2 linked regions of the Styela clava genome follow. The protein of the gene in region 2 interacts with the protein of the main gene of each other region in a pairwise test. Links are inferred from orthologs where the notes say so. Each region holds a gene or a part of one and is shown on either strand. Other genes may lie near its edges.

Region 1 (11,750 bases), on a different chromosome or scaffold from region 2:
TTGTATTCACACGTTCTTGCTATTGATGGAATAAGATTAATGTAAAATGTTTTTAGTACATGGAGGTTGGAGACACTTATTTATAAGCTGGCATCAACTGTGTGACTGATCGTTTCAAAAAATCTGTTAAATCACATCCTTTTCATATACCTTTTGAAGTTATGTGAAATTCATTACCTCCTAGCTGTGTTACCTACTTCAAGCGTCACCTCTCTCAATATTAAGTAGCAAAAAATATACATAATAAACTGCCACAAAGTTGATGAATTTAACTAGCCGCTCGTAATCAAAGCACTCCAACAACAATTGGAGTGTGAAAATAATTATCTACAATTTGCGTCGACATACCTTTTTCGCTTTATGCATGTCAAAACAGCAGCTTCAGTATTATTTAGCCAATTTTTTTATGAAATTTTTATATTTACAATTGAACTGTTTCCATCCACTGATCACACATGCAAAACAATGTGCACCAAATTGTTAAAAAAAATAAAATGGAACAGTACAATATGGATCTTGTTATTGAGTTATGGGTCCTGCGTTTACTTCAGGAAGTTGCGGTAATTTGCTTTGAGAAGGGAGTTTTATTGCTGTTGCTCGCAACCTATATGAGATACTCAGCAAAGCATATCCGTAGCTTGAGGTAATTTTTTTTCATGTAGCGCTTATTCATGCTCTTTGCTCTGAGAAGGGCCGTGTTAAATCTTTTTTATGTGGTGCTCATTAACCTCTGCTCTGAGCAAGTTCCTGTACAACCAACCACTGATATTTATCATATTAAAATTCACGGATCAGCACATAAAAACAACAAAGATCAGAAAAAATAAAGCTCAGTTACTTTTAACGTGGTAACTTGCAGCTATTTTGGTCGAGGTGGTAATTCGGACACTGACAAACTAACATTGGATCGATTCTCGAACATGTATTTTGACAAAACTTGAAATCAGTTAATTAAGCACGAATATTCATTTAGATAACAGTAAACAAAAAGAAGAAAGCAATTGCCAAAACCTGTTTATTTGTAATCTGTAAGGCATGGCTGAAGTAACTTGATGTAGTTATTATGAAACTAAAAACTATTAGAAGTGTTTTATGTAAATCTTTTGATGGAATAGCGTCATGAGACCATTTTTTTCGCTATACTCCTGATGAATAAAAGAAGACTTTTTAAAAATGTATTTACAAATTTTATTTTCAAACTCCAAATATAGTATAAAAACAAATAATAAAGATTGTACACTGTATACACGCAAAACATTGGATCACAGATTATTCTGGAGAATTACTGACAAGGTTTATAGATAATTTTATCATGAAAGAGTAGGTGATGAGCAAAAATTCATAGATCTTAGAAATATTGAGATACTTGCGTTTATGAATAGAGCACTCTTGGTTTAAAAAAAGATACAGTTTACATACATAAAAACAGGTCTGCTCAGTACAATTAAAAATCTGTCTTCAACTGAAAAATTGAAGGCAGCAACAACTTCGTCAAGCTATACGGTAGCCTATAACTGTATGATGAGACTGACGTTTCTGAACAATGTTGCTATGACTTTAAAAAATAGACTCTAAAATGGTGAATATTGAAGTAAACTAGACGCTAAAAACATTGCCAAATCATTACTGACAAAATAACAGCATTTCCTTGTTAATTGAGATATGGGCCCTAGATAAAAATCCGCACTTTCATAAGTGGAAGTGACCAATATTTTATTCTGTTGCCTCTTCTGAAGGCTCATATTTTTCAAGTCTACTTTTAAGTTCTGCATTTTCATCTGTGAGTTGTGATACTTTTCCCCTGAGTTCGCTAACCTCTAATCGTAGAGACTCCACATCAGCAGTTTCAGGTCCTGCTGCTCCGAGATGTTGGCGGAGAAATTCCAGTGCCTGTGAAGGTTTTTCCGGCTCCTCATAAAGATTTACCAAAACCTTTGTTAGGGCATCTACCACGCCTGACTGTTCAAGATATTTCCGGAATTCTTCTCTTTTCGAATCTGCAGCTCGATAAGTCGTCATATTGCGGCTCCGATTGAATACACAGTCCAGTAACGAAGAAATCGCGTAGGAAAAGCGACGTGAAACGAAAACAACGGAAGAGATTATCGCCAAGACGACGACGACTATTGTTGGCGCGATGATGTCAGAGGTTATTTCTTAGGTTGTCAGATGAAAAGATATGAGAGAGAGAGAGAGAGATTTATTATTTGTCAACCAGAAATAACAAATACAATTATAATAAATATAAAGTAATAGGAATAACGTTTCTTCGGTATAGACTGGAGGGAGCGATACGACCATACGGTCATCAGGATCAGCTCCCACCATGTTCGCACCAATTAAAATAAGTTCACAGTAAAAATACTTATTATTATAAAGCGGTTATAAATTCTAGAATTTTGTATCTTTGGAAAAAAATAGGGAAACTCGACCAAGGGTTTTGTCTGTTCTTAACCCTTTCCATGCGATTTTTATCTTTTATTAAATAATCGTATTTGCTACGCCGACTTTATGCATTTGTACCCCCACAACTAATCGATCGACTAACGAAAAAGTAATGATCCTCTGCTGCCCACTGACGGCTCGTTGAAAAGCTTATTTAAAGAGCTTGCAATTGGCGATTGAAAAATTTTTTTTTTCCAAAAGGGGTGGTCTGAGTCACAAACCGGATAGAAAAAAGGCATTTTTTTTTCTTGGGTGTTGAAACTTCAAACCGTGATAAAAAATAGAAATATTCGCTAAATCCTTTACTGTTACCGCTTCTTGGTTGGCAAACAATAGCATGATATTGCTGTAGCAATTTCGTTATCTAACTCAAAATACTTTGGTAGATGGAAGGGATAATATGTCTTCTATTACCACCCAAAACACACCGAAATTTGCATAAATTTCAAAAACACTCCCTCGTTCCGCCGCAAATAAAATTTCCATGGTAAACGAAAGCGAGATTTACCGTCGCTTATGTTAATCTCGAAGAAGACTTCTTATCAATAAACTAAAACCCGGAAAAACTAGACCAACAGTTTGCGACCGATTGCTAAATAAAACAGTGGAGTACATCAACGTACCCGCCGCAAACTAGCGAGTTTTGTCGTGGGTACGTAGACGTGCCCACCGCACGGAAAGGGTTAAATGACAAATAGTTATTTGGAGTTCGAGTAATAAATTTTTTCGAGTGAATTTTTTTTTAGCGGAAATAAAATAATATAGTTAAACGAAATAAATATTGAGACGGTCATTTCCCATGTACTACTCATGTGGCCAATGTTCAAACTGCAGTTGAAGTTTTGGTAACTTGTTGCTATGTATTGGCATTCAAATAAACGTTTGATTGGAAATTGTTCAAAAAGTATGATCTTGTCTTGTCTGACGCTAAAATCAGAAGCGCAACAAAGCCTAGTCAGAAAATATGCAATACATATGATGGCTGATGGCGCACCTTTCACTGGCTTTAGCTGCAACTTTTAGTAACAAGCACTGCATGCAGAACGTCCGACTTCAGGCCATTCTTGAAATGATTCTTTTCTATTTATTGAACCAAATTCCTACACCCTCAAATCTCGTTTTGCAATAGAAAAAATATGCAGAGTTCGCCGTAAAAATACATTAATTTCATTTGTTTTATTGGATAATGATGGAATACAAAGACCACAATAGAACTAACACAATGAACAGTATTGAACATAAATAAGAATAATAACTAATTACATAAAACATAACATTCAGTTTCAAGTTATATATTAGATTTAGGTAAGTAAAGGTGCCATGTTGATGCCAGGTTATAGTGACATACATATATTTTCTGAAAAGAGGGAATCTGTCGTCAGTAAGTACGATATAAAAGATAACCGGTTCTTAAAATTTTCAATCCCACCGGTGATAACGCTATATAATAATATACAAGATTCGATAAAACACAGTTTTCTACATATCAACATTTTTTCACGGTAACATATACATTTGGCAATTTATACATCAAAGTCACTCGTTTAGTATAAAATTTTCCATTTTAGTCTGAAATAATAAAATGTACTACCTTTTTTGTTCTAGATTAATCAATTGCACATAAAAATAATAATCTCATCAATTCTCATTTTGAAACTTTCGTCAACAATGCATATGTTATCACCCTGCTTCAGCTCTGATTTCTTCAGTTGTTGTCACCATTTTTTGAAATATGGTTTCTGCCTCAGTAGGAGAAATATCAATCTCAACATTTGAAACATATCGCTGATTAAATATGTTCACAGCACTCTCATATTGGTAATTTTTTTTCAAATTTCGTGGATCTTGTTTGAACAACCAGATTAATGATTCAGATCCATTATAAGTAGAAAGTGTCAGATGGTGAGCAACAAGACGAAACTATAAGGTAAACAAATATTATTACTGGTAAAAACGATTATTTGTGACTTTCCAGGTGTCCAACATGGCCAAAATGATGAAAAATAACCAGTCCCATTTGAATTTACCATGTAAATTTGAGATCGAAGTGAATCAATTCCCGTTTGAGAATAATAGTGATAGTTTTATGGTTCTATTGGACCAGGGGTGCACAACACATGATCACTTTGGCAAGTCATAGACTCGAACAAAGCGTGAACACTGAACAGTTTGGTAAAAAGTAATTCTTGTATTTATAATAAACCCTAACAATTCACGTTTATATCGGAATGAAATCAACATGTTTATTCACAGATCACCAGAGAAGAAAATAGCCAAAAATAAGTGAGTAGACTAGTCTACATCATCTAAAATATTCAGATTTTTTAAATGCCTCCAGGACTATTAAAGTCAAGTTTTTCTTATAAAAATAAATAGATAAAATAAATAATTTTCTGGAAAACATCCTTTACTTTCACACTTACAAGCATAAAGAGAAATTCCACAATCTTCCATAACCATAATGGTAATATATTTTCTGACATCGCAGTGATGCAAAGACCAGGTTCGGCGAGGTGGCTATAAATCCCTTCTCTGTTGTATCGTTGATTCATTGCAATGCTCAACGCATTAATAATATATTTTGAACTGCCATATGACATGTTCCTGAATAAAGAAAATGATTCTACGCTAACGAAAAACAAAGGCAATGTATAAAGAAAGTGGAGTGGAATTAGGTGGTTGAAAGCATATCATCTCCTTTTCTCGGTAGAGACGAGCCATTTCTGTGTATAGTAAAATGAAAATTCAATTTTTGAAAATTGAAATACAGTCCCTTATCAGATTAATATTGTACCAATAAAAACACTCTAAATCAGTGCTCTTCAACAGGGGTTCCGTGGAACCTTGGGGTTCCGCGTAAAGGAAAAATTGACTGCTGGGCCAGTAAAGTTGCAAAAAATGATTATTATTCTTTTCCGTGTTTGGATGAATTTCTAAGTGCGCAACAGCAAGAAGGACTCATAGATATCTGTAATGATATTAATTCGGAGGAAACCTTCGAAAATCATGGGAAGGAAGATTTTTGGATTTTTCTTCACAAAGAGGGTAGGAGCCATTGCAAAAAAAGCAATAAAACTTCTGTGTCAATTTCCCAATACCTATTTGTGTAAATCAGTATTTTCTGCTTTAACAATTATTAAAAACAAAAAAGAAGTTTTTAAAGAGTGTAACCATGAGTATGATAATTGCTTTGAGCGCCGTGGAGCCACGATTCAAGAAAATTGGAAAGGAAATGCAAGAACAACATAGTCATTGAATTTCATGCTTGTTACCTTCTTTCTGTTTCGTTCTTGAAGTAGAAATATTCGAATTACAAATATTTCGTTTTACGAGTATTTCGTGTTTTATTTTTATTTTTGTTATTTGGGGTTCCATAAAAAACGAAAAACGATATCAGGGGTTCCGCAATAACAAAAAGGTTGAACAGCACTGCTCTAAATGAGTTCCTGAAAAAAAAAAAATTTTACCCATGATTGCACATAAAGTCATCCATGTTAAAACTGCTTTTTACAGCATTGTTAGAAGCTGTCCACACAATCTTAGATTTCTCTTGCCCATCAGATCTAAGAAGAGGCAATAATTCCTGAACCTGAAACAAAGAAATAATGCAAAAGAGTTAATCAAGGATAGAGATATATCAAAAAAATAAATCAAAACCAATTAAAAAACAGTGTTCCATTGTTAACAAGTTTCGAACAGATCGAACTCATATTTTTGTTGATAAAGAACTTTTCTCACCAGAACAAAATGTCCCAAAACGTTAGTTGCAAAAACTAGTGGTATTCCAGATTCATTCAATGGATTGGCAGATTCAATGATATTCTCTCCAGTCTTTAACCGAGCTAGAACATTCCTATATCAATAATGATAAATTGTTTACACTTGTTACATGTAAACAAAAATACCAACAAATCGATAATAATAAAGTACTTGGCATGACAGAAAAAAGCAATATATTTATGATAATTGCAGTATAAATAAAAATGGAGTCCTCCAAACTTCCCTGCACATACATTTGCACTTGCAATGCCGATACATTTGTATGAAAAAAGGGTACCCACTTAATTTTGGAACCACAAATATTTCACCCTATAATTTGTTACTTATTACAGATAGGTTTAATAAGACTTAAATTGGCTTCACTGTGCTGAACTCACCGGCTGAAAAGACCAGAAATATGAAGTTTCTTCACAGGTAAAATCCCTGCATTCAGATACAAAAAGTCAATTTTCTTATATCTAAAATAGGAAATTGAATCAAATCAGTTTTAAACATGTGGAAATAGGCAGTGAAGAATTAATGAATCGTCCTATAGCATGTATCTAGAGTAAAACTCACAATACAGAGTATTAAAAAGCAAGCCTGACAATAAGGTAGTTGAAAAGCAATTCAGAAAAAAAGGTTTAATAAATAATGTTTTGAATTTGGAGTATTTTGCATAGAAATGCTTTGTAATGTCAAATGTTGATGTAAATATGTACTATTGAATCTATTCACCATTCAGTGTAAGGACCATTTGGAGTTTAAAATTCATAAAAACCATGGGTCTAGTATTTCCAGATTTTCTATTCTAGATCAAATTATACATATGATATGACATAATGCATACTTTTCTTTTATGATATTCACTCCTTCTAAAACAGATTTTAAATCTCCAGTATCCATGTTGACAAGTTCGATTTCAGCAGATTTATGCGATGCCAATAAAGTAGAACGAACATATTCTCCCTTTCTCATATTTCGACACAAAATACAAACACGAATGAGGAATTGAAGTCTTACTTCGAGAAGAATTCTATGAAGGAAGCTGAGACCAATCCCACTGAAAAAAAATTCATCAACGTGTAAGCAATTTTAAAACTGATATAATTATAAATAACACGATGAAAATTGTTTCAAATTAAGATGTAAAAGATATAAATTATTAGCAGCTTGTTGCAAAATAGTATATCGGAAATGATAAAATATCGTGTGTATAACTGTATAACATAACGCAATACTATTATAGGGAGAGAGAGAGAGATTTATTATTTTGTCCATCAAAAACAAACAGTTAGTAATAAGACAAAAATACATAACACAAATAAAATTGCTTTGGTATTGGCGGGAGGGAGCGATACGAGCATGAGGTCGAGGTCAACTCCCACCATATTTGCTGAAGTGATTAATGTTCACATTGAAGATGACTATTAGAAAATTTGGTCTGTTGATTAATACTTAAATTAAAATTAAAAATTCGATGTAATCTCAGGAAACTATTGGGGGAGGACATGTTTTATTGGGAACTCATTTACACAATAAAAGTTCTATATGCTTTAGATGATGGGAATAATAATATATACAATCATTCGATGTAAGAAAAGAGAGGAAAAAAAAAAATATATATACATATATAAACTCTACATCAGTGGATGATGGGCTCGAAAAATGTGGTAAAAATGTATCACCAGAAAGACAAAAGATTATATGCATATTAATAGGATTACTAACATATTTAAGCCAGTAATAAAAAATATTATATGGAAACAGAACACAGGGGAAAATTCATTACTTCATTGGTAAACAGCTAATTTATGCAGTTATGGCTAACTTTAAACTACAGTCTGATTACTTTCGTACCATTCAAATGGATTTAGATCAGGGCTTCCTAAACTAGGGGCCCCAATATTATGGGCCGCAAAAAGAGCACCAATTTTATACAAAGTACTATATCTATTGTACTTTTCCAGAATCTTGATTCGAAATACAATTATTAAAAATGATGTGAAACAAAAATTTCACGATTCCTAATGAACACATCATCATACTGTGTAAATAAGATTTCAGTGTCTTCAATTTTATTTCGAAAATAACACTAGGGCTGATTTTGAGGGAATGCAGAGAATAACGATAATAATTTTTATTATACAAAATATCTACGATATAAACGAGTTATTCTAGACAGATTTAAAAAGTAGAAAGAGTAGAAATTTCTTGAGTGGAAATTTCTTGCTATCGACTAGGACTCAGTGGTTCTCGAACTTAATTGAATTGTGACGCCCTCCAAAAATATGCTCAAGTTACAACTACCTGTGAAAATATGTATTGATACCTTTCAATAGAAGACTTTTTCTGCAAGGATTTTCATATAAAGGAACAAACAAAACATAACGACAGTCAGTGAAATCATATTTAATGGGCCTTGGTAGAAAAGTTTTCCCTATATGAAAACGAAATCGCAAAGGGGATAGGAGCTCGCAACGCTTTTTGAACCAAGAAAAATAATCTTAATTTACAGAAAACCGAATTTTCAGAATTAAAATTGTAACACCATCACAGGTAAGATCGATAGAATCTTCCCTTTTTTCTGTAAAAGTAGAAGATATGGGTTGCTTGAAAGGTTAACAAATCATAAAATTTTGCGACATCCTAGCAAAATTAAAACGACGCACTTCCACGGGATGAGGTCAAAAAAATTGCCCTATAGACTAAGTCTTTTTAAAGGGGAGCGCTTATATTAATATAATTTCCAAAATTCAGGCTTGGTTTTATTTTCGGGGAAAAAACAGTAGAATCATCGCGCTTGCATAACAATGTATATTCTGATCGTAAGACCCGATTTGCGTGTGCTTGCATAACAATGCCGGCTTTAATAATTATTAAGCTAGCGGTTCCCGAAGGCGATTTGCTAAGTACGCCTCGAAATATATTACATATTTTATTTATTCCAAATGTTTTATTGTTTCTCATTGTTGCGAATGATGTGTACACGAATCAAATTCATTTTACTGTTCTATGTTGTGTACGCTCTGTTATGTCGGGTATATTGTTACGTAACAGAAGAGGTAAACCCTACATGCTGCAATTTCGCATGCTGCCGTTTATTGATTTGCCGAACACCAGTGATTTTTTTAGCATTTTAAAGAAAAACCAGGCAGAGATAAGATAAGTACATATTAACGATGACAAAATTGTGTTTTATTATCAGGCAGCATATTTTTCGTGTAGATGCGCCATGATTTTTTACCATGATACTTCGGCGCCACACAAACCGCTGTCTTATGCTGAGTTTGATCAATAAGAGTGAACAATTCCGGATAAGGACCATGCCATCGGTGGCCAGAAATCGTAATTCATTATTTAGGCCTGCATAAACAAACATTGAGCCGAGGCTGGACTTGCTATACAGCAAAAAGTATTCGCACCTATTACACTGAATAATTGAGTAGCGTTAATCTGAATAAATATGTGCTTGTTTTTGTAATTGAGTAGGCCTACTAAAAGTTGAGAATTAGTCTAGCTGTGTCAATTAAACATCAAAAATGCATATTTCGAGCTGTTTAGCAGTATTAACTCGAACAAGGGCCGTAGAAAATTAATATATGGTATTAAAAAGCTCAAAAGCCCTGATCTAGATAATAATAAATCCATGATAGACGAGGCGTTTAGCCAACACACTGATATCCAGTTAAAATGACAGAAAAGGTGCAATCATACAAGAAGTAAATTAAAAACCCATATCGCAAAATCCGCGTGCGGTCATGCCATATAACAGTAAACAAATTTCTTGCAAAAATGGTAGAGAATAAAACTGTTACCTTGTTGCTCCAGTTATTACAAGAACTTTAGTTGGCAACGCCATTTCCCTGCTCTCTACTACTTCACGACCTACCGGTATCTCAGTTCAGCCTTTTGCATTTGTGGCGTCACGTCTCCAACGAAACATCTGGCGGGCGTCATATTCGGGAAAGTACCACTACCAAGTTGAACCGTAGTAGAGAGAGAGAGAACTTTTTGTTTCGTCAAACCAGAAAACACATACAATATATATATGATAGCAAATAGATAGTAGTATATATTTACGGTTGAGAGAGAGAGTTTATTTTTATTTGTCAAACATATATTTACGGTCAAACCATGAAACACACAATACATGCATGAATATATAAATAATAAAAAAAACAGATGCTTTGGTATAAGACAACGATACGACCTTTTGGGGTCAGCAGAGTCTGTTGCCACCCATACAATTATATTATTAGTAATAAAATAAATCATCAGGTACGGTGTAAGGAAATACAATACCTCTCGTTTATTCATTATATACACTATTTACAAGACTTTCTCATTTTTAAAAACAAGAAATTTCGTGTTGAAAAATACTGTTTTGTAGTATATTTAGTTGAAAGTTTGTTATATATTGCATAGTATCTATAGAAATGCTTGAAGTGAAATGGGTTAACTAGGATACCAAATACTTTGACAATTTGCCATTTTTTTTAATAGTATTGAATGTAAGTGGGCATGGATTAACAATGTGCGTACATGGGGTAAATTTTATTACAGTATACATAGAATGAATAGAAAAATAAAATTAGGAGCATAAATGAGACTAACCGAATGAGATAAAAATTTATTTTCACAGTACAATTCATTAGTCCAGACCAGGGTCGTCCAACTCGTGGCCCGCGGGTCATATGTGGCCCGCGAAAGCATTTCGAGTGGCCCGCGCTGTATTTTTTTCAGAATTAAAAAAAAAATAAAGTGAAATTATTTTTTGATTAATGTAGTATACAAAGATGTGATACAAACGATTTGTTCATTTTCCTTAAATGCGCTCTGCCAGCCCTTTCAAACGAGCTATGAGTGCCATTTTGAATCGAAATCAACTGGGATACATAATCGATACATAAAGATGCCATAGTCGCCTACACACACACTTGGTTTTTTACTACTCTATATGATGTTATCGCAAAATAATCGAAGCCATTTCCAGATTGAGAATTTGTTGATGTTATGTATTGTTCGGGTTGCCAATGTTTTTACGCCCGAAAATAAAAAAGGTGTTTGCAAAAATGGCCTGTCAAGACGGACCATAACTCGTCGTGTTGAAGAGATTGGGAACTCTATAGCAGAAATTGTAATTGCAAAGGCGGGAAAAGCGCTTAACGAAAGCACTGGCATCAAGTTTACTGCTCAGTTGGCGACTTGGCGATCTTTTTTCGGGGAGTTAATGATGATTTGAAATTACCGAAGAGCTCGCAGCCATTTTCCCTGTTAATGGTACGGCTAGAGACGTTGGTTTGTTAGAAGCTGTTATAAAAATGATTAAGCGTCTTGGCTTGTCTTTGACGAAACTTTCGGGAATAACCATCGATGGCGCCCTATATTGGGAAACAACAGTTTTATTGTTCTGATAATTGTGAAACTTCGGTGTGAGGGCATTGTTTGTTATTTCATTAGCCCGTAGCAAAACTAGAACATAACTACCATGTTAAGTGACCCGCGCAATTATTAGTAAATTACATGTGGCCCTTCGGCCAAAA
Region 2 (12,378 bases):
TGCTTTGTCTAAGCTTGGAAAAAATGTTGCGAAAAACACATTCAAAAATATTAGATTCAACATATAACTGCTGTAAACGAAAAAACTTTTTGTCTTCTGCCATCATCGACCAGAACTATCTTGTGGTTTTAGTTTTAAAGCTGTACCTGTTTTAGTTTAAATTTTAGGCGGAGCCTTAAAATGACCTTATGCTTGGCTGTTAGAAGCGATCTTTTAAAACAAATTTCACAAAACGTTAAAATGAGGCATAATGCATAAGCTACTTGGTTCTGCTGCGGAGATATGTGTACAAACCTATTTATATATTCAATTTTAAAAGATGTTTGTTTATATTATACATTGCAAAGAAGAGTATAACTAAAATGCAAATATCCAGGAATCGTTTTTACCATACAGAGTGCCCAAAATAACAAAATCCTTGATTTCATAATTACTTCTTAAAAAAGGAAGAAAATTTAATTAACATCTTAACTTTGATTGTACTCTCGAGTTTTAGTTATCTAGACCAGGGGTTCTCAAACTTTTTGTGTTGCGGAGCCCTTGAAAAAGTTGACTATTATTCACGAGCCCCAAAATAAATGTTAAAATTGTTATTTTCCGAATAATATTCCTGAGTGATTTAAAAGTACTTTACTTAATTAATTTAAATGCTAACCTCCTTTAATAGGGATATTACAAGTCATAAATGAATCTAAATGTCAAAGATAAATTATATATACCAAAGCTGTAAATTTGACACTTGACAAACATATTAATAAATTAGGGGTCGAATCTTTAGACATTTTTGAAAGAATTAAAAGGCCGCTAATACCGTAGGCGATTGCATTTTGTTACAAGTGCCGAATATTTTCGTCAGCATGGCGGTGTTTATTCTCCCTAAATCGAAAATTTCCTTCGGCATATACATGTATTGTTCCACAATGACGACGAGTCGACGAGTATTGCTTTTTTGTTCTCGTGGGGAATTATGAGTTCAGTGTGAAAAAACATGTTACCATATTATAGTCGTCGGAGACGAAATGCTAAAAATAGTAAAGAGATGAATCCGCAACTCAAATTTCTTGATTGAAAAGCGGCATTCTAAAATATTAAAATTAAAACTTAAAATGGAAGATAACACTATACGTTTTGTTTCAGCAGACTCACGACAGATTTAAAACGCTTTTATAGACATTTTAAATCACAAAATTTGGTTTATGTTAGGTTTTCTTTGGTTATTCATCGTATTAACTGCGAAACGGGACCACAGTCAATTGTGCGTGCGATGTAGCCTACCAAGATCGCAAAAATACGACTGCAATTTATTTATAGATGGCAGTTTATCGCGTATTTTATGTTATTTCAGAATAGTATTCTTTCATTTTAGTAATCCTAATAGTTATCTCGAATCAAACGTGAGTAACTATGAGCCCAATTGAATCATTACGACAAGACACTTTAAATGCTCGCATCGATCATGGATTGAATATTTTACGCAACAAAAATCTCGTTTTCCGTTTTTTTTTAATCGCAAATAATGTTGCATGGAAATTTCCGATTCCAATTTTGATATCCTTCCGTCTTAAGAAACCTGGCTACGCTCATGCTTATAAATAATGTCATTTTTTAATTCCGTCTCTTTGCCATATTTCGAGGCTATATTGTTGTCAAATTTTATCAAAGCTGTTATTGCTTCTTTTAACAGTTACAAAATTAGCAAATCCAGTATTTTGAAAAGTAATCGAATAGCTCGTGAAGCCCCTGGGTTTCTCTAACGGAGCCCTGGGGCTCTGGGAGCACTTTGAGAATCTATGATCTAGGACACTTTGCACAAAAGCTATGATATCTGTAGAATATGTTACAAATCACCTAGGTTCTGTTTTTGGGACACCTACGACCAAAATATGATATAATATGATGAATAAATGTATATATGATAATGCTCAAAGCAAGTTCAATTCCTCGTCATTCAGGTAAAAATCAAAAAAACACCCAATCCATGTAGCTTATATAATTTTGTTTAGAAAGTAAACAGTTATTTCACAAAAGACCGGCTTGTACCAGACTACCAGACTATATGATATGAAAATATGTTTATAAAATATAACCTTACCCTGATGAAATTTAGCTTAACGGCTTCAGATACAAAATCTTCAACTGATCCAAGCAAACTATGTGATATTATTTCACCTGTCTGGTGATTGTACCTTACAAAATAAATTAAAAATGTTCAAAAGTCATTACTTATGGACTATGGTAGCTCACAAAAGCACAGGGATCAACTTTTATTCGTACAATTTGTAATATACCATTAAATTATTGATAACTAGTATATTGAAAAAGATTTAAATTCTTCTAACATTTAAAATATCTATAAAGGCACACTTCAACATAGCAACATAGGCTTTTAAGTCATGTTTTATTATCTCATATACATATGCTGAATACATTACTTTCAAAATTTCAAATTTACCACTAGTCGTTAGCTGTGGTGTTTGTTACCCATTTGCTGGGGTCGTTTAGTATGGAAACAAAAACAAAACAAGAACCTTTCTGCCCATTATCACAGCATTCTGAAAACATGTTCGCACGAACCGTCTGAATCCCATAACTGATACTAGTTAACATACCTTGGTCCTGACGGTCCAGAATAATCAATAGGTTTGAGTTCAGCATCAGCAGGAGCAGTACGTGCAACAATTACTTTTTTCTGTTGTTTTTCTTGCTCAGATTGAGGTTTTTGTTTTTTAACCTTATATCTACTTGTTTCTATCGGTTTTGTACTTCTCTCTGATGTGATTTCATGTGATTTCCTAACCTGTACAAGCAAAAGATAAATGTCTGAATATATATCAGCATTTTGTAGGTAATTCCATTTTTGGTGCAATATATTTATCCCAATAAAATGACAATCTATTACGAGCTCGCTGAAACGTATATAGTAACAATCTCAGACTGAGTATGCAGACTTCTTGTGTGGTTACTAGTCCTGATCAAGATAGTCAGACAGTTAGATTTATTGCGATGCCTGGACATAGTTGGTGGGGTAAGCTATAACGTCAAAATGGGCGTCTGGTTAATTAATGGGTATACTTAATGTTGCACATCTTGGAATCAAATCCCATGGCCACCACCTCATCCAGGGTGTATTAAATTGAGTAGGCTGAATGCCGAACTGGAGAGATTTCAGTCCTTCCAAAAACAGTAGCTTTGTACCCATCGTTGGTTGCTTTGTTCAGGGCGAAAAAGCCATGAATAAGTGTTATATAAAAAACAAACTATAGAATGACCTGAACATGCTAAAATTGCAAAAAGCCTGACAACTTTCTTGCACATGATCCCTCATGGATTTGAATCTGTCCCCACTATGAAGAGTAATTAGCAATGTGATTGTGAGGATGTTACAAGGTTTAGCATGATTACTAGATTCACAAAGCAAGATACTTTATATAGATATTCTTGTATAATAAAAAAAAACTGGGAAACAAAAACACTAGGAACAAACTTTCTGCAGATCTTCATCTCTGATTGATAACTTCTGAATGTCATCACTATTCAAGATGTCACTTCCTGATTTTCTGGGTGATATTGCTTGATCTGGTGAACCAGCCCCTTTCTTTTTTCCCTTTTCTATAAAACAAAGAAAAAATTAAGACATTGATGAGATCAGTAGCTATTTAAATTTGTTTTCTAACTATGGTATTGAAGATCCCATCTTAGAATACCATTTAGGTATTTTATATTTCAAATAATTCAGAAGTCATTTGTTACACAAAAAAAAAATTACTAAATTCTAGCAAAAAAGTTATGAAAAGCATTTATTTTATACTTCTTAAATGTTATTATGCTTTGGACAGCTTGGGCCTTCTTTAGACCTAAATAGTTTACTAATAAGAATATGCAAACTAATTTACAAAGTTTAATATTATTTGATGACACTTATTACAGAATTATCAACTTCAAGTAAAGAGTCTTTGAAGAAGTAGCTTGGATACATTTTGAATAGAATATGAATATACCATTGCAAGTTAGAGATTTTAATTGTTCAAAACTTTAAAATAAAAATTCTATATTTGTTTTGCTATTGGTTATGCAATGGTTAAACCACATCTAATGAAACAAATAAAAGCAATGTTTTAATGGTTAAATAACAAACTTCAAGAAACTATAAATGGTGTCAGGGCCAGTTCTAGGAAAAAGTAGCCACTCAGTTACACAAAAATAATAAATATGTTGAGGAATTTTTTTTTTTTTTGGTAAACTGGAACCTGACTTTTACTGAAATTTCCATATATTATAAACGTTCATAGACGTATCACTTATGACACATAGCTTTCTATAGTGTACTTATATCCAAGTTTGATTGCTAAACAATAGAAAACTTGCTATCTAGTCTGCCAACATAGACAGTTAACTCAAAAGAATTTCAACAAAATTTAAAATGAAATGTAAAGCACCATATGAATTCTGGATACAAGTGTAACAAAAATTTTGATATTTTTCTAAAAAAATTATTATTAAATCCTAACTGCATGAGAAATTATCCAAAATAGGTTGAAAAATTCAAGCAATGTCATATGCACTAACTCAGTACTTATATTAGAGAAAAACATTTAGCTGCAAAGTATTCATAAAATTCTGTTACAATTTCAATTGTGTTACGAAAGTCAGTTCTTAACATATATCTTCACCAGGTTTGTTTTATTTTAATCAGTGTTTATATATGGTTTTAACTCGAACTAACGTTATATGGTATGAGTAAATTCAATCTATATATATCAGTCATAAATTAGTCGGAAATGTTGGTGTTAATATTTAACATTGATTATCTCCAAGTTTACATACATTGATGATTCGATTAATTGGAACACAAAACCTGAAATCTCACAAAACTAGCTAGTTTGACACTTTCCAAAACTTAAAAAAAAGGTTAATGCAACTTGTTCAAAACTCATCAATATCTCACAGCAAGAGCACACGCTGATACCAGTATCTAATTCTCCATCTTCAACTTCATCACCAGGTTGTTGTGCTTGATTTGATGAAACACTTAAACCCCCTGTATTTTTTCGCTCAATCCTATCTTTTGATATAGCGGAATGAGCAGCTTGCTTCCACATTTTACAGTATAATTACTTTAAGACTTTCACACAATATTAAACATAACAAAAGTTCGGGATCTCATTTCTGGATATCAGTCCATGTTCAGTATGGGAATAGTTTACCAGTTATCGATTTCAAATTCATGGACTTAGGGGGGCAGTCTAGAAATCCTCTTTCCAATAATTATCCCTACAGAGGAATCAGCAATGTTAAGGCAAGTGTCTTAATAACGCTTAGTACGAGTCAACGATCGCGCAAAATTTTATATATATATATATACATTCGTGCAGACTCATTCTATTTCAGTATTTCCCTTTAGAACAGGGTGTGCAACAGGCTGACAGGAGGCTCGCTGGCCAGAATTTGAACTGTTAAGCGTTTTAGTGTGGTACTTGTCAGATATAAAATACTAATGTGGTACTTTTAGGTCCAATATCTGCATAAGTGAACATCATTTTAAGTTTGTAACATCCCCAAATTCCGGTCATGTGAGTTTTTCTCACGTATTTTTATTTTTTTGTAGACTAGTATGGTGTAGTTTGAAAAAATATCTTTGAACTTCTTGAATCTTTTCTTGACTTTTTTCACCTCACCAGACTGCCAGATCCAGCGATGGTGGTGTAATAGTGTATTAAGTAAGTTAGAAATCTAAATTATTTTACGTCTGGAAACTGACCTGCAGCAGTTCCATTATGCTGACCTTTCAAGCTGTTGAAACTTCGACTTGATACTTTATTACCTGCTTGTCGGCTATTAACTGATTCTTTGATGTTTGAAGTTAACACCATATTTTAAACCAGTTGTAATTTTTCAATAAAAGACGAATATACGGAAGGAAACACTTCGAAGGAAAAGTTATCGTTTCTACAATTCTACATTGACCCACTGTTGGCGTCGACGTTGCCTTGGTATCACAGACCCCACAAGAGGCAGTACCGTGCAATTTGCTCGTAGTTTTTCTAGGTCCTAGGCCAGGGTGGTCCATGGTTGTCGACCTCCCGGGCCACACTATCATTTTTGTAATAGTCGCGGGCCAAAATAGTGCCAAGAATATGTAAACAGTGCAATACAAAACAAAAGACCTTTATTGTCAAATACATTGATCATTATTTGACATTTTTTTAGGCTAAAGCATGCAAAAACTACAAAAACAAAATCACTAAAACGTGCAAAAATATTACTATATCTACATTTAGTGTAAGATTTCAAACTTTTCATAACGGAGAAAGTGTCACAAAGAGAAACTGCAGTATTAAATTGTCACCGACACAACTTGCGGACATATCAAGCAAGCATTGTGGTATTTTCCCTCACACCCAGTCAAAAATATGTTTGAATTGGTCAGCTTTATTTTCAAACTCATGTTTACAAATTAACTTACAAGTAACTGCAGATTGATTGATTACCTAATTTTACCAAATTTAAGATACAGGAGGGTAATTGCCAAATTTTCTGACATATAGGCAGCATTTTAATACTGTTTAGGCTGGTTACAAAAAACCACCCAGCGGGAATAGTATTGTTCGGACATAACATTAATATTTGGTTATTAGGCGCTGATAGATCTCCATTCGGTTTTCAGTTTTCTATGAAACCTATTTTGTTAGCATATATTCTCGACCAAAAAGATGGAAAGCCAGATAAAAATTTAGACTGCCAAGCACATCATTCAACTTTGCTAGTTGCCTCAGCTAGCCAAAATACTAGTCAATTCAGTGAAATTAGTGATGTAACAATATGTCAAAAGATTTTTCTGGTTATTTTTATGACGAAACAACACCAAATGCGAATTTTTGTTTACCCATGCGCAAATGCGACGCGGGCCACAGGTATTGAAGCGACGGGCCACATGTGGCCCGCGGGCTTGGGTTTGGACCACCCTGGCCTAGGCTCTCTCGACTACTATCTGTTTGATCATATTTACGGTTTGATACGATGTCTGAATCTTCCGCAAGCTTGGGTGACGTCAAATTAAAGCATACTCTCCTGATAAATTTGGAGAGGCTTAACACATTTTGATGATAATATACGTAATAGAATTTAAAGTGTATATAAAGCTGTACCCGCTTAACTTACCTCTGCATTAGTTGTGAAAATGCGGTCACATCCCCATTACTGATTCCGCGGATGATAAGTAGTGTTGTGTATACTCGAGTCATCATTAACTTGTCTCAATTCAGACTCTAGCCCAATGGTTTTTAACCTGGGTTCGATCGAACCCCTGGGGTTTGGTGGAGCTGTTCCAGGGGTTCGACGGAGGTCGTCTGGAACAGTTTTATATTATTGGACTTTTGTATTACCTCGTCATACTAATTATGCAAAAATAATAATAATACAATTGCCGAAATTTGTTTTTCCCTTTCAATGCCGTTTGAGAAACGAATGGTTTGAAGTACCAACGTTTTTGAATTTTGAGGCATATTATCATCTTTTGGATTTTCAAAGTTGCTATTTTTATCTGTTTCCCTGCCGCCGACACTATTATGACAAAACAATGGCTATTTCCACACGGGGTATTGATATCTAAGGTAAACCATAGTGTTCGTTTTCTAAAACCTTGCACGAAATTAGCTGCCCTCTTATAAAGTTAGGATTGGGCTCCTAATTTCAACCGTTGAGTGCGATGGGATTCGGCGGGAGCATGCCGAATAGCGCGGGGGTTTGGCAGGCTCGAAAAGCTCTAGTCTTTTCTATCATATGAATAAAAAGACTCGACTCGAACGGCTGGACAAAAAGACAGAGAAAATGGACTTCAGTCGGCTATATAAATATCAATTTCCCTGAAATACGATTCAGATAAATATTGTTTTGAAATAATCTGAAACTCGCAAGATTATGTAATCAATAGTTCAAAATAGTCCGTGTCGATACCTAGGTGAATGTTGTCAATACTTGAATAAATCCTAGTTTTGACTTTCAAAATAACTTTGATTTTAAGAAAGATGACAGGGTAAATATGGGAAATATTTTCCATTTCATCGTTGTTTATGAAATCCACTATTACTCGAACCCGACTTAACTTGTGACTCAAGACTCAAACTCTTAAATTAGCTGGACCTCGGATTTGACTCGAGACTCGGGAAAACTTGTTATGTTGAACAATGAATAATTTTATTTCAAAATTCCTATTCAATTTTTACCCGAGATGAAGTTACAAGCATAAGCGTATCCCCTTTAATGATGTCATGGTGAATACAAATGGCAAATTCTGTCATAGATAAGTATATCAACTGACGTATAGTTTCCTATATATATAGGTAGTTGTGTAGACGTGCTAATGGTTAATTTACACCAAGCAAGAACGAGTCCTTTAATCTTTCACTTTAAAATTTTAATAACTTGTAGTAAAGTTGATTTCTAATTCGAAATATTTCTAATTTTGTTGCCAATGAAAACTTCATTTTGAATCGCCTGTGCATTGTATTTTTATCTTAATTTGAAACATGGTTACTAATGCGTGGGATAATAGATTTTATGCGGTATTAAATTACATCACTAATCCAAATTCAAAGGTAAAAGTTTCTATTATACGAGAATTGAAATTTTCGTTTTCGTTTTCAGTAGTTGCGACCTTGGATCAAAGTCAAGTTGCAAGTTAAAACGAACAGAAGTTAACAATACTTTCCTTTCCCAGTGCGATGATTTTTGTTTCATATTGTCCTTTAAGCTTTTTCTAATTAAATTTATTTATCTCTTAAAAGCAAAAGCCACCTTTGATGAGATGCCATTCCTCATTATCACCGAGGGTAATGTCCGCGCAATAACATAGGGGGAAATTTCACTGTTACTAATAAAATATTTTGCTATATTCCATGAAGCTGCGAACAACTGGGATAAGATTAAAATGAATTTACTCACGGAAAGTTAAAATTTATTTGTGGCCCAAGCGCGGATCGAATCTCATTATCATTTAATACGTTGTAAAAGTAACAAGATCGAACAAATGTTAAGTTCTGGAAGGTACGAGGGAAATCTGTGTTGATGTTCCGCAGAAGTCCTTGAAATGTCTCCCTATCTTACGTTTCACGAGTGTACAGCTGTTTCGTACTCTGAGTTAGGAGTTCTACGTTCTTCGTCAGAACAGCTGTATGCTGATATAATCGGTCGCGTACAAGAGTGATTCGGCCAATCGTACGTAGTATTGTTGCCTATTGCCTCAGTGTCTATAGATTGTGGAATATAAAAGCCCGTAGGGATTTCAATTATCAACCGTCACCATCGGGATTTTGACATATTTTTATTTTGGAAGCTTGCATCATTGGAGAAACAGTCAACAGTCGGTAATAGCCTCATTGGTAATAACTGTGTGATAACAAATAGAGCTATGAAGATATCTGGCGAAGATGCACAATATTTCGCTTAGAAAGATTCGAGTCAGAAGTTTTGAAACGGTGCAAGAAAACTTGAAGCTATTCTTCGCCTCGCTCATTCGTTTTTCTTTATATATCGGCAATAAATGTTTGTGCTATTTCCAGTAAGAGGCCCCTAAAAATCGGTCGTTAGGGTAATCTCTTTATGTTTAAAATATTGATCTTCCAAGCGTTCAAGATTCACGTTATTTCAGAGTTCGTTTATTGTGATGTATACAGTTAATTTACAGTTTATACGAGAGTTTACTTTACATTACCATAATAATTAGAATGTGAGAGGCAGTTTTTATGAGCTTAACGCATAATTAAATAGTTGAGCGGAATAAATTTAATTGTTCGGAACTGTTTGATGAAAATACTCAGCTTCCTATTATGGTCGTTGAGTTACAAATTAACAGTGTTTTTTCAATATGAAACCATGGAAAATCAATTTATTAGTGCAGTATGACCCTATAGATAGGGCTATGTATGAATAGGCGAGGCCCATTCTTGCTTCCGTCTTAGATAACATGAAGAACGCTATCGATGTACATCGCGGCCTACTTTGGACGTTTGAAATCTCTGTGAACTAATATGAACTCTTTTCTGTCAATGTTTTTCCTAATTAAATTCTACCCCACAGAGACTTGTGAATTCCGCTTAATTAAATCGCATTTGTTTTACGTTCATTAATCACAATCGGTAGTTGGTATTGCTCGCTGTTGGGGTAATTGTTTAGTAATGCATTTCTGATCACTGTTATCCATCAGCTCGAATTGACAATTAATAGTACAAGTATGTCGTTAATATTCTTTTTTAAATTATTTGTTTTACTGCCAGTAATTTGTGAAAACCAAATAACATAATATTCTGCAGGCAGCCCGATCAGATTTGAATGGAGCTCATTTCTTTAATATGTAATGTTGCAAATTCTTAGCATGACAATTTTTCCAAATAAATATATAATATATATATATACGGTGACCGTACATTTGAACCCACGTACATTTGAACCCATGTGTATATCCGCGGGTTCAATCTATATGCGGATGCGAAAACCCATGGGTTAGTGTTAGTATGGGTTCAAATATTCGTAAAACAAAAACAAAAAATTCCATAGGTGCAATAGTATGCAGGTGCAATTGTCGTGAATTCAAATGTATGTGGGTTCAAATGTAATGGAACCATATATACACTATTCATTCTGAAACCAAAAAAAAAGCTATATACAGACCGAACTAATTTTGAATGATCTCGAATGTTCAATCTATGTTTGCATGAAAAGAGACGGATTTAAATAAAATTTGATAAGTTTTTTCTCCGCCGCACATAGCAAAATTGTCTGCAATGGCAAGCAATTTTTGATGTCCCGTTGTTCATGCTATTTTTTTTTTGTATATTATTCATTTTTATTCATTTTTTGCTCAGTGTATAACATAATTTGTATTTTTACACGTGTACGTCTCGAAATATTAGTTTTGATACGCTACTCATCAGCAGGTATTTTAGTTGACTTGTCTTCGTTATTACACTCGCATCCGGTTTGAAACATTATGAGAAAGATCAGTGTATAAACAAGGTCCTATATCTTGAAACATAATAATACTGAAATTATATTTACTATACGTTCTTTCGCAAAGTTTCTATGGTCTTTAGGGATTTCTCAGCACATGCGCCGCGCTCACGCCTTCGCTAAATGCGTCCGTAGTGGGATATGATGACGCAAATAACATCGCAGAATTAATCCCTGATAAGATTCCGCCGGTAGAATACATTATACTCTGGAATTTAAAACTCTACGATTACAAATTGTACATTCTGAAGGTGCGAAAAAACACCACATCCTATTAAAAGCACCAATGACGTCGTGTAGATTTTACCGGAGAGCGATCCGGCTGGCCCAGCTTTTTTTCTTCGATTGATTATATTGCAATTGAACAGTTTCAGCCATTGTGATTTGTCAGCTAACGCTCTTGAGTGGAAGTGGAAACAATTGTTCAGTGCTAAAACTAGTCCAATGATTATTTTGAAGTGGCGAAAACACTGAGAATTTTGTAATGTACTATAGCGTGATTCTATCTTAAATTCTGTAATTAATTGAATATAAAATCGACGATAATGTTGATCACATTTTCCGATTACTGGATAAAAAAGTGTGCCCATAATGTACATAAAATACTTATTTCCAATTGGCTTATTGATGAATAACGTGATATATGTCGAGTCTATACAATCATTTATTATTGAATTACTTTTGGAATATGATTTCTAAGTCAAAGAAAAGAATTTTATAACTACAAAAGTACATATGTTTAATAGGTTTGGACAAATTTGAATCTGTGGATTCTAAATAGATTTTACAATCACGCTCTGCTTAATTCTCATATTGACGATAGTAGATTGAAGTAATCTTCTTTTAGAAAGATATTTCTTAAACAACATAGAAAGACTACAGATGTTGAAATACTATGGAAAAGCAAAATAGCATCCACTTAACCCATTCACATTTATGATTTCTATTTATAAATGCAGATTCTAATTTGCCCCATTGAATATCAATTTTAATCGACGTATATTAATCGTTTGTCGTGGGTATATTACAAACTTGACTTAATCTACCCTTTACAAATGAGAGAGATTACTTAGTTTAATTTAATTCTCATCATTAAATGAATTTAAATTTTACTTGTTTTAATATTAGGAAATACATTATTTTTCCGATTTTGAAGGATTGGTCTACAAATATGACTTCTAGAAATGTATGATCTGCTTAATGTATGATGTAAGGCTCGTTAATGAATATTAAGTGATTATTTCTTCAAGGCTCAGAAATAAACTGAAAACGATAATCTAATTTGTAGCTGTCTGCCTGAATGAAGGAGTATCTTTTTCTAGAACAGTCTACGCATTATGATCTTATATGGCAATGACCACATCCCAATATTTC

The links.
Region 1: the proteins of MYCBP-associated protein-like (region 2) and c-Myc-binding protein-like interact in binary tests that used the Homo sapiens proteins (3 or more experiments, as listed by UniProt). The link is inferred for Styela clava from reciprocal best matches to the Homo sapiens genes MYCBPAP and MYCBP.

The regions. Positions count from the first base shown.
Region 1 is NC_135251.1:13,588,414-13,600,163, reverse strand, and holds c-Myc-binding protein-like, read right to left. Parts: upstream 2,126-11,750; 5' UTR 2,020-2,125; coding exon 1,714-2,019; 3' UTR 1,165-1,713; downstream 1-1,164. Other genes in the region: 3-keto-steroid reductase/17-beta-hydroxysteroid dehydrogenase 7-like, read right to left, coding at 4,126-4,365, 4,869-5,049, 5,913-6,034, 6,184-6,298, 6,603-6,683, 7,055-7,267, 10,023-10,066. UniProt on the Homo sapiens protein: May control the transcriptional activity of MYC. Stimulates the activation of E box-dependent transcription by MYC.
Region 2 is NC_135263.1:16,710,485-16,722,862, reverse strand, and holds the start of MYCBP-associated protein-like, read right to left. Parts: upstream 5,128-12,378; 5' UTR 5,100-5,127; coding exon 4,967-5,099; intron 3,610-4,966; coding exon 3,485-3,609; intron 2,798-3,484; coding exon 2,610-2,797; intron 2,187-2,609; coding exon 2,093-2,186; intron 1-2,092. UniProt on the Homo sapiens protein: May play a role in spermatogenesis. May be involved in synaptic processes.